2 linked regions of the Schizosaccharomyces pombe genome follow. The protein of the gene in region 2 interacts with the protein of the main gene of each other region in a biochemical or structural test. Each region holds a gene or a part of one and is shown on either strand. Other genes may lie near its edges.

What was found.
Region 1: the proteins of prp10 (region 2) and prp11 form a complex in vitro, tested with the Schizosaccharomyces pombe proteins (one study listed by BioGRID).

Annotation. Positions count from the first base shown.
Region 1 is NC_003421.2:517,871-521,800, reverse strand, and holds the start of prp11 (ATP-dependent RNA helicase Prp11), read right to left. Parts: upstream 2,290-3,930; 5' UTR 2,262-2,289; coding exon 1-2,261. Other genes in the region: rad16 (DNA repair endonuclease XPF), read left to right, coding at 3,898-3,930. UniProt on the Schizosaccharomyces pombe protein: ATP-dependent RNA helicase involved in pre-spliceosome/complex A assembly and mRNA splicing. Bridges U1 and U2 snRNPs during pre-spliceosome assembly and enables stable U2 snRNP association with intron RNA.
Region 2 is NC_003424.3:4,334,938-4,338,867, reverse strand, and holds the start of prp10 (U2 snRNP-associated protein SF3B1), read left to right. Parts: upstream 1-2,063; 5' UTR 2,064-2,080; coding exon 2,081-2,090; intron 2,091-2,141; coding exon 2,142-2,246; exon of another isoform or gene 2,247-2,312; coding exon 2,313-3,930. Other genes in the region: DNA replication factor C complex subunit Rfc2, read right to left, coding at 53-126; pdp3 (PWWP domain-containing protein), read right to left, coding at 397-1,620. UniProt on the Schizosaccharomyces pombe protein: Contacts pre-mRNA on both sides of the branch site early in spliceosome assembly.

The sequences.
Region 1 (3,930 bases), on a different chromosome or scaffold from region 2:
TGCACGTAATCCTCCATATGATTAGGGCAATCATAATTTACCACCAGCTGTAAAGATTTAACGTCAAGCCCACGAGCAACTACACTAGTTGCGATTAATACATCAAATACTCCTGCTTTATAATCACTGATGGTTGAGTCGCGATCGTGTTGATCCTTACCGCCATGAATTGAATTACTTGTATACCCGCGTTTCATAAGGTCCGACAAAAGTGCATCCGCAGACTCTTGTCTATCCACAAAAACAAGTGTACGTACATCAAGTTGATTGTTGTACAACTCACCTAACAGCTCTAATAGCCGAGAAAACTTGCTTTCCTCAGGCCGTACTTCAACGATTTGCTCAACCTCAGAAGCAACAACCGACCGTCCGCCAACCGTAATCTCTACAGGTTTCTTTAAAACTTTCCTTGCAAGGGCTTCCATAGCACGAGGAAAGGTAGCTGAAAATAGTACGGTTTGCCGATCAGGTCGAATATTGTTAATAATTCTCATGACTTGCGGTTCAAATCCTAAATCAAACATACGATCGGCCTCATCCAAAACCAAATAAGTGCAGCGGTGTAAGTTAGTAACACGTCCTGCATTCGCACTTAAAACATCAATCATACGTCCAGGAGTACAAACTACGATTTCTGCACCGCGTTTTAAATCAGCAATTTGGTCTTTAATAGGGGCACCTCCATATGCACAACACGCACGAATGTTCAATAACTTTAAGAAAGGTTTACATTCGCGAAAAATTTGCACAGCCAATTCACGAGTAGGAGTCATTATTATTGCAATAGGACCCTCTCCTGTTTTTAATGGGCGCTGATCTTTGATGTGTCGAAACATAGGAAGAAGAAAAGCAATGGTTTTTCCACTTCCTGTTTTAGCTACGCCAATTACATCTCTGCCAGAAGTAATCGCTGGAATTGCTTGTGCTTGAATAGAGGTTGGTTTTTCGTATCCCAAGGAATTGATCACGCTTATGGTTTGGGCAGATAAACCACATTGACTCCAACTAGTAACTGGCTTCGGGCAATCAATACCACGAATTTTAATACCATCTAAAGAAGCCCGTAGTTCATCAACTTCAGCTGGTGACAGATTTTTGAGCTCTTCAGGTTCAACATAGAAATCCTTTTTGAAATCTTCATAATTTATTTTTGAGTGATCAACTGTGATTACGTCTTTCTTTTTTGATCGTTTTGCAGCAAGAGCAAGTAAATTTTCTTCCTCTTCCAAAGTCTCTGAAATTACCATGCGCTCGTCATCGTTTGCATTCGGATCAATGACCTCCGTATTTAATAAACCAGGCCTTATGGTATCAGTGGTACCAACCAAAGAGGCCATGTAAGCATCTAAAGGATCTACTTCGTCTTCCTCCATGCTAGCTGCTTGCTCATTTCCTAGCATACCCCGGTCTTCTTGGTCCCAAAGCTCCTGGTAGTCTTCAAGATTCATACGCCTAGGACCATCTTCATCATCCATGTGAACTCGGTTATTTCGCTTCATATCCGAAGTATCTTTTTGGCGATTAATCTCAAACCCGGATATACCAGTTGAAGGCATAGCATTCTGGTCTTTGGCTGTAACCTGCGGCTTTGTATTCAACTTGTGCTCCTCCTTCTTGGAAGCCTCCTGTTTTGCCTTTGACTCTTTCCACGCTCTAACTCGTTCTAGCCTGGCGAGTAGCTTAGCATCCGTAATTTTGTCTGACGCTACTGGCTTTTCAGCATTTCGTTGATGATTATTTTCAACAGCTTTATCCTTGGGAATTACATCAACTCGTGGATTTTCAGATTGAATTTCTGAAACACTTAAAGAAGCACCAACTCTCTCAGTTCGATCAAATCGAGAACGTCTAGGCTGAGGCTTTATTTCAGTTGCGGAACCTTGTAATACAGGATTTGTTTCATCTGATTTAGTTTTATTGTCTACTTCTTTTTCCTCAGCATGTCTATGAGATGTTGGTCGCGGTGACCTACCAATATACTGATCGGGAATATTCTTTGATCTCGCATACTCTCGATCTCGCTCTTGATACCTTTTTTCGTAACTATACTTATCATGCTTCCAAGAATTATCTCTTCTAATTTTATTAGACTCGTGAGAACGAAAAGAATCATGCCTATCTCGTCGACTTGATACATCGTCTACGTATCGGTTATACCGTGCACCCTTTTGATCTTCAGAGTCATCATATTTTCGGTAATCTCTTCTTTCTCTATTGTAGGATCGCCTTGGAGGCGACCTTGATCGTGTTCTTCTAGACATCAAAAACTGGGTGTTGTGATATGTACACGAAGAGTTTTAATGAGGCAAGTAAACGACATAAATTACTTTATATAGCAATATATATTATGCATATGATATTAGTTCACTACTAGATATAATTTACATTATTATAGTTAACCTCTTTATGATTATTTATACAAGTCATATGGGGTTTATTAAAAAGCAATGAATTTGCCAGTTAAGTCGGTAAAGCAACCTGAATTCTGTGCAATTTATAAATCTTAGAAGTAATATTCATTTTTTATTTCAGTTATTTAAAATTTAATTATGGTTCCCTACACTGGACCTTCAACTTAACCAGTAAAACTCGGAAAAATAATCAACACTGGTATATAAGTAATTTTTTCAACACCGCTTACATTTTGATTGTTGCTGAATTTTTATTGCTTTTGTACTAAAGATAATATCGGAAAACCGAGAAATAAAAGACGATAAAAAATTTTATTGATTGGCGAATAGGCGAGTTAGCTCTTTTTATTTACAATATTTCTTTTTTTATGTAAATAACTATTGGGGTTAAGGCTTGGAATCCACAATTCTTGATTACTAGTAAGGTACTCTTTCAAATGTCTGTTAAACAGTCATCTACAATAGAATGTAATAAGTCAGATAATTTAGAGCGTACATAAATTAAGAAAAGCCATTATTTCCATTCCAAAAAAGAAAAAAAAAAAAGCATAATTGAAATTTACATAATGTTATACTTTTTCTATAATGTTTATGTTTTTGCGCTCTTCGACCAATAATATTGACTTAGCAGAAAACCAAAAAACGAAAATTCTTTAGTAATGCCAAATGAAAGAGAAAATTATTTATGTGTATATTTATTTTTATTTTTTTTAAGTGTATTTTTTCGCCATTTACTCGATTTAACAGTGATAGTATTAATAGCTGGCATTATTTTTCTGGTATTGCTTTATAATTTGATATACTTAATACTGGGATAATTGTTTTTAGGATGAGCAATGGTTATACGCATGTAATGAAGTTAGAAACCGACAGCAAATAAATCTTACATTTTGAAAGAAAATTTAAAAAATATGGTTGTCCAAATACAAGCGATGGGATACCCCAACGTGAATACATGGAAAGATTGAATGTAGAGTATCTAATTAAGGAGAATTAAGCTAAGGCATGAACTATGCCCGAAACTGAGCAATGGTTAAAGAGTATATTAAGTAATTTATTTTACCCAATATATTGAAACTAGTTTAACCTCTAGTTGGTATGTATAGTTGGTTGCTCATTTTTACTGATTGCTGTATTCCATTCACTCTTTCATCTTTAGGTTAAATATTTGTATTTGGTTCTCCTTGGATACTTTTATCAGTTGGTAATCATTTTTAAATTCATTGTCTTATATAGGATTTTTGTTTTGTACAGATTCTTCCTTTCATCATCCTTGAGAGTCTCTTAACTTCACGATCCGCCTAAATTCCTAAGAAGGAGTCTATCTCATGCTACTGTTTTTTATTTAACACATTTGTGAACGGAAATAGAAATAGAGTTGATTATTCCATCCAAATTGGAAAATTTTCGCATCAAAGTATTTAACAGCTTTCAGAAATCAAAATTGCAAATTGGAAAATCTCTACGAATAACACCACCATTAAATATGGAAACAAAGGTTCATTTGCCTCTTGCTTAC
Region 2 (3,930 bases):
CTACATACGTGTTAATGTTATTGTTCTTAAAAAGTATTCTCTATTTACATACTAAAGCTCAACCCAAGGTATTGATTTCTTTGCTTCCTGCTCCGTTTTCTTATTCCTTGGAGCAAAGAAAGACATTTTTTTTAAATTAGTATACACGAGATATCGCAAGTAAAAAAAAAAAACACTGACGGTACCTACTACGAAATGGTAGTAAGCAATGCTTGTTCTTGCTTACATACTAGGATAACGTATTGTAACGATTTGTACCATAAACACATTGAGTCGCGCTAATAATGCGTTCTATATTAATGAAAATGTTGGAAGCAAATATTATCGTAACATTAAATGTAAACAAGATTAGTTATGTAATTCGATAACAAAAGCATATGAATGTATGATCAAAAGTTAGGTAGTGATGACAGATGGTCTGGCAGCTTCTGTGTTCACTTGAGCATTCTTTCCAATGGGCGCTGTAGATACATTACTTGTCATGGTTTTGGGCTGAACGAATGCTTGGAATTGAAGGAGAAGAGTCGAAAATCGTGAAGAAAAGTCATATTTTTCATCCAACGGTATGTCGCTTAATTTAACAAGCAAAGTAAAAAGTGAATACAACTTGGTTGATTCTAATAGTTCAGAATTTATTGCGCTGAAATTCTCAATCATCTCCAATATTTGGTGCACATGAGACATATCCGATTCTTGAGGATAATGATTATATGACAGTAGGATTTCTTGTAGTTGGTAGCGGTAATATAAAAGAGTATTAAATCGAATATAATGAACTTGAGCATACATATCTACAGTACTTATAGGCTGAGCCAATTGATATTCAAGTGAAAATTTTGGTAATTCCTCTAAAGAACCGGCAAACCTTACTCTTTTTTTGGCTGTTTTCTTGGGAGAAGGAATTGGAGATGGGGATTTCTGAGCGTTGTCTGTAGCCATCCTAACTCGAGCTGACCTACGTGAAGGTCGTTGCTTCGATGTTTGAGAAATTTCTGCCGACGATTTCTCATTTTTTAACCTTTTACCCCCGTCAATTTTAGGTGTGGCTTCTATCTTTTCCTTTTTTGGTTTCTCGATGGGCTTTTGAAGTTTTTTACGAGTATTCTCTGGTTCAAACTCATCCTCTTCGACATCAGAAAAAGAAACTTTTCTCTTTACGGAAGCAATGATGAGACCTACCGTCTTTTGGATATACTTTGTCGATAAATCATGGTCCAAAATAAACCTTGATTCATCAACAGTTAAGGGCAAAACATTTGAAGAAGAAATAATAGCGTAATCTCTTGAAGGAAGAAACTGAACAAATATTCCATTGTCCATTCGAAAATTTCGTTTCAATCGTTCGCGTACCTCAGTGGGTATTGATTTTTGGCTCGCTACTCTGGCTGGCCACCATGGGAAGCTACTCATCTTTGCTAAAACATATTCCCCATTTTTATATGATTTCCTTGGTGACGTCCTCGGAACATACGCTAATTGTTTACCTTTCTTTTTAACATCACGCAGATTTTTCGTATTAGAAGTCTGTTGCCCGGTGGCCTTTTTTTTTGTTTTAATCTTCTTCTGGTTATTAATCTCTTCAAGCTTTCTTTTTTGACTGCGTGTCCTAGCAACCATCATCGTTAATTACATTCCTTATAAGCCAAACTTCACATTAAAGCGATATAGTGCTGAATTTTTCCAAAGAGATTTTACATCAATTTGTAAAGGTTCCACCAAATATTAGGATATACAAGTAGAAACCGTAAGACGCTTGTCTATTATCAATTAATTGCAGCAACGCTTACAAGATCTACAATAGCAGAGGGGGGGGGTGCTAAAAGCTTGAGCTGTTGCAATATGATACCTCGATATTTCAATATCATTCCTCATACTAATTTTTTCGATAGTATATATTTCTTTCGCAAATAAATCTTAATAAAGAGGGTTAAACTAAATAAGACACGTTAATCTTATCGTTATTCTACAAAACGAGTTACTGTATTGTACTTTAAAATATTGATAACGAAGCTTAGAATGCTTTGAGTATATTTAAATGAGTATAAGACGCGCAACATGAAAGCATTTCTTCGCCATCAACATGTCAACTGGTACGTATCCTTATAAAATGTTCAAAATGGATGTTACTAACCTAAATAAAGTAGAAGATGTGGAAATAGAAAGGCTTCGTGCTGAAAGAGAACTTTTGCGAAGACAAAAAGAGGCAGCGAAGAATTCGTCGACAAATGGAAGTGTAAATATTGAAGGTACCCAGGATTCTAATGATTTACAATATAATGCTCATCTTTTTAAGTCCAGTAACCCAAAAGAAGAATATGACTCCGCAATTGACGTGCGCAATGATATCTCTCAGGATGAAGACGATTATAAACGTACAAACGATGTTAATGATAGTTATCGTTTAGTGCGTCAATATGAAGCACCTAAGGAACTACTAAATGAATACGCTGATGAAAGTTATGACCCTATGCAAGAGAGACAGTCAAAAAAGCAAATTCAGGATCGCGAGTCAGATTATCAAAAGCAGCGTTATGATAGACAGCTTACTCCAACCCGCGTAGATGCTTTTCAACCTGATGGGACACAGAGCAATGGAAGATCTTATGCGGAGGTTATGCGGCAGGTTGAATTAGAAAAGGAAGAGCGACGAGTTCATATGGAATTAAATCAAAGACGTCGTGAAGGAACACTAAAAGAGGTGGAGGAGGAGGAAAGCATATCGGACAAAAAAAGAGAACTAGAGCTTAATAATACGGAAATATCTCAGAAGCCTAAACGCTCTCGTTGGGATCAGGCTCCACCTAGCGTTACGCAGGTTTCCACTACTAAGCGTAGATCACGTTGGGACAAAGCTCCTGAAAACTTCACTATATCTGAACATGTTATAGAAAACGGAATTTCTGAAGATCTTATTAATAAGGAAGTAAATGTAGTAGAAGAAAAATTACGACCTCCTGTCCGTTTATTAACTGAAGAAGAGTTAAATGAGCTTTTGCCGTCAGAAGGCTATGCTATTTTGGAGCCTCCTCCTGGATATTTAGAATCAATTCATCCTGAACTACTTCAAAAAGGTACTACGCTCGATACATATCACGTTCCACAAGAGCAAGAGCTTCCTTTAGAAAAAGAATTACCAGCTGCATTGCCTACAGAAATACCCGGTGTAGGTGATTTAGCTTTTTTTAAGCAAGAAGATGTTAAATATTTTGGCAAGTTACTCAAGGTGGAGGACGAGGCCAAGCTTACAATTGCGGAACTTCGTGAACGTAAAATTTTGAGATTACTTCTGAAAGTAAAAAATGGTACTCCTCCCATGCGTAAGAGTGCATTACGCCAGCTTACGGATCAAGCTCGCGACTTTGGTGCAGCTGCTTTATTTAATCAGATTCTTCCGTTGTTAATGGAACGAACACTGGAAGATCAGGAGCGCCATCTTTTAGTTAAGGTTATTGATCGTATATTATACAAATTGGATGATCTGGTTCGCCCTTTTACTCATAAAATTCTCGTAGTTATTGAACCCCTTCTTATTGATGAAGATTACTATGCACGTGCTGAAGGTCGGGAAATCATTAGTAACTTAGCTAAAGCTTCCGGCTTGGCTCATATGATTGCTACAATGAGACCTGACATTGATCATGTCGACGAATATGTCCGAAACACCACAGCCCGTGCCTTTTCGGTTGTTGCCTCTGCACTAGGCGTGCCGGCTCTTTTACCTTTTTTAAAAGCTGTTTGTAGAAGTAAGAAATCATGGCAAGCCAGGCATACTGGCGTTCGGATTATTCAACAGATTGCTCTGTTATTAGGATGCTCTATTTTACCACACTTAAAAAATTTAGTTGATTGTATTGGTCACGGCCTTGAAGATGAACAACAAAAAGTACGAATTATGACAGCTTTGTCCTTATCGGCTTTAGCTGAAGCTGC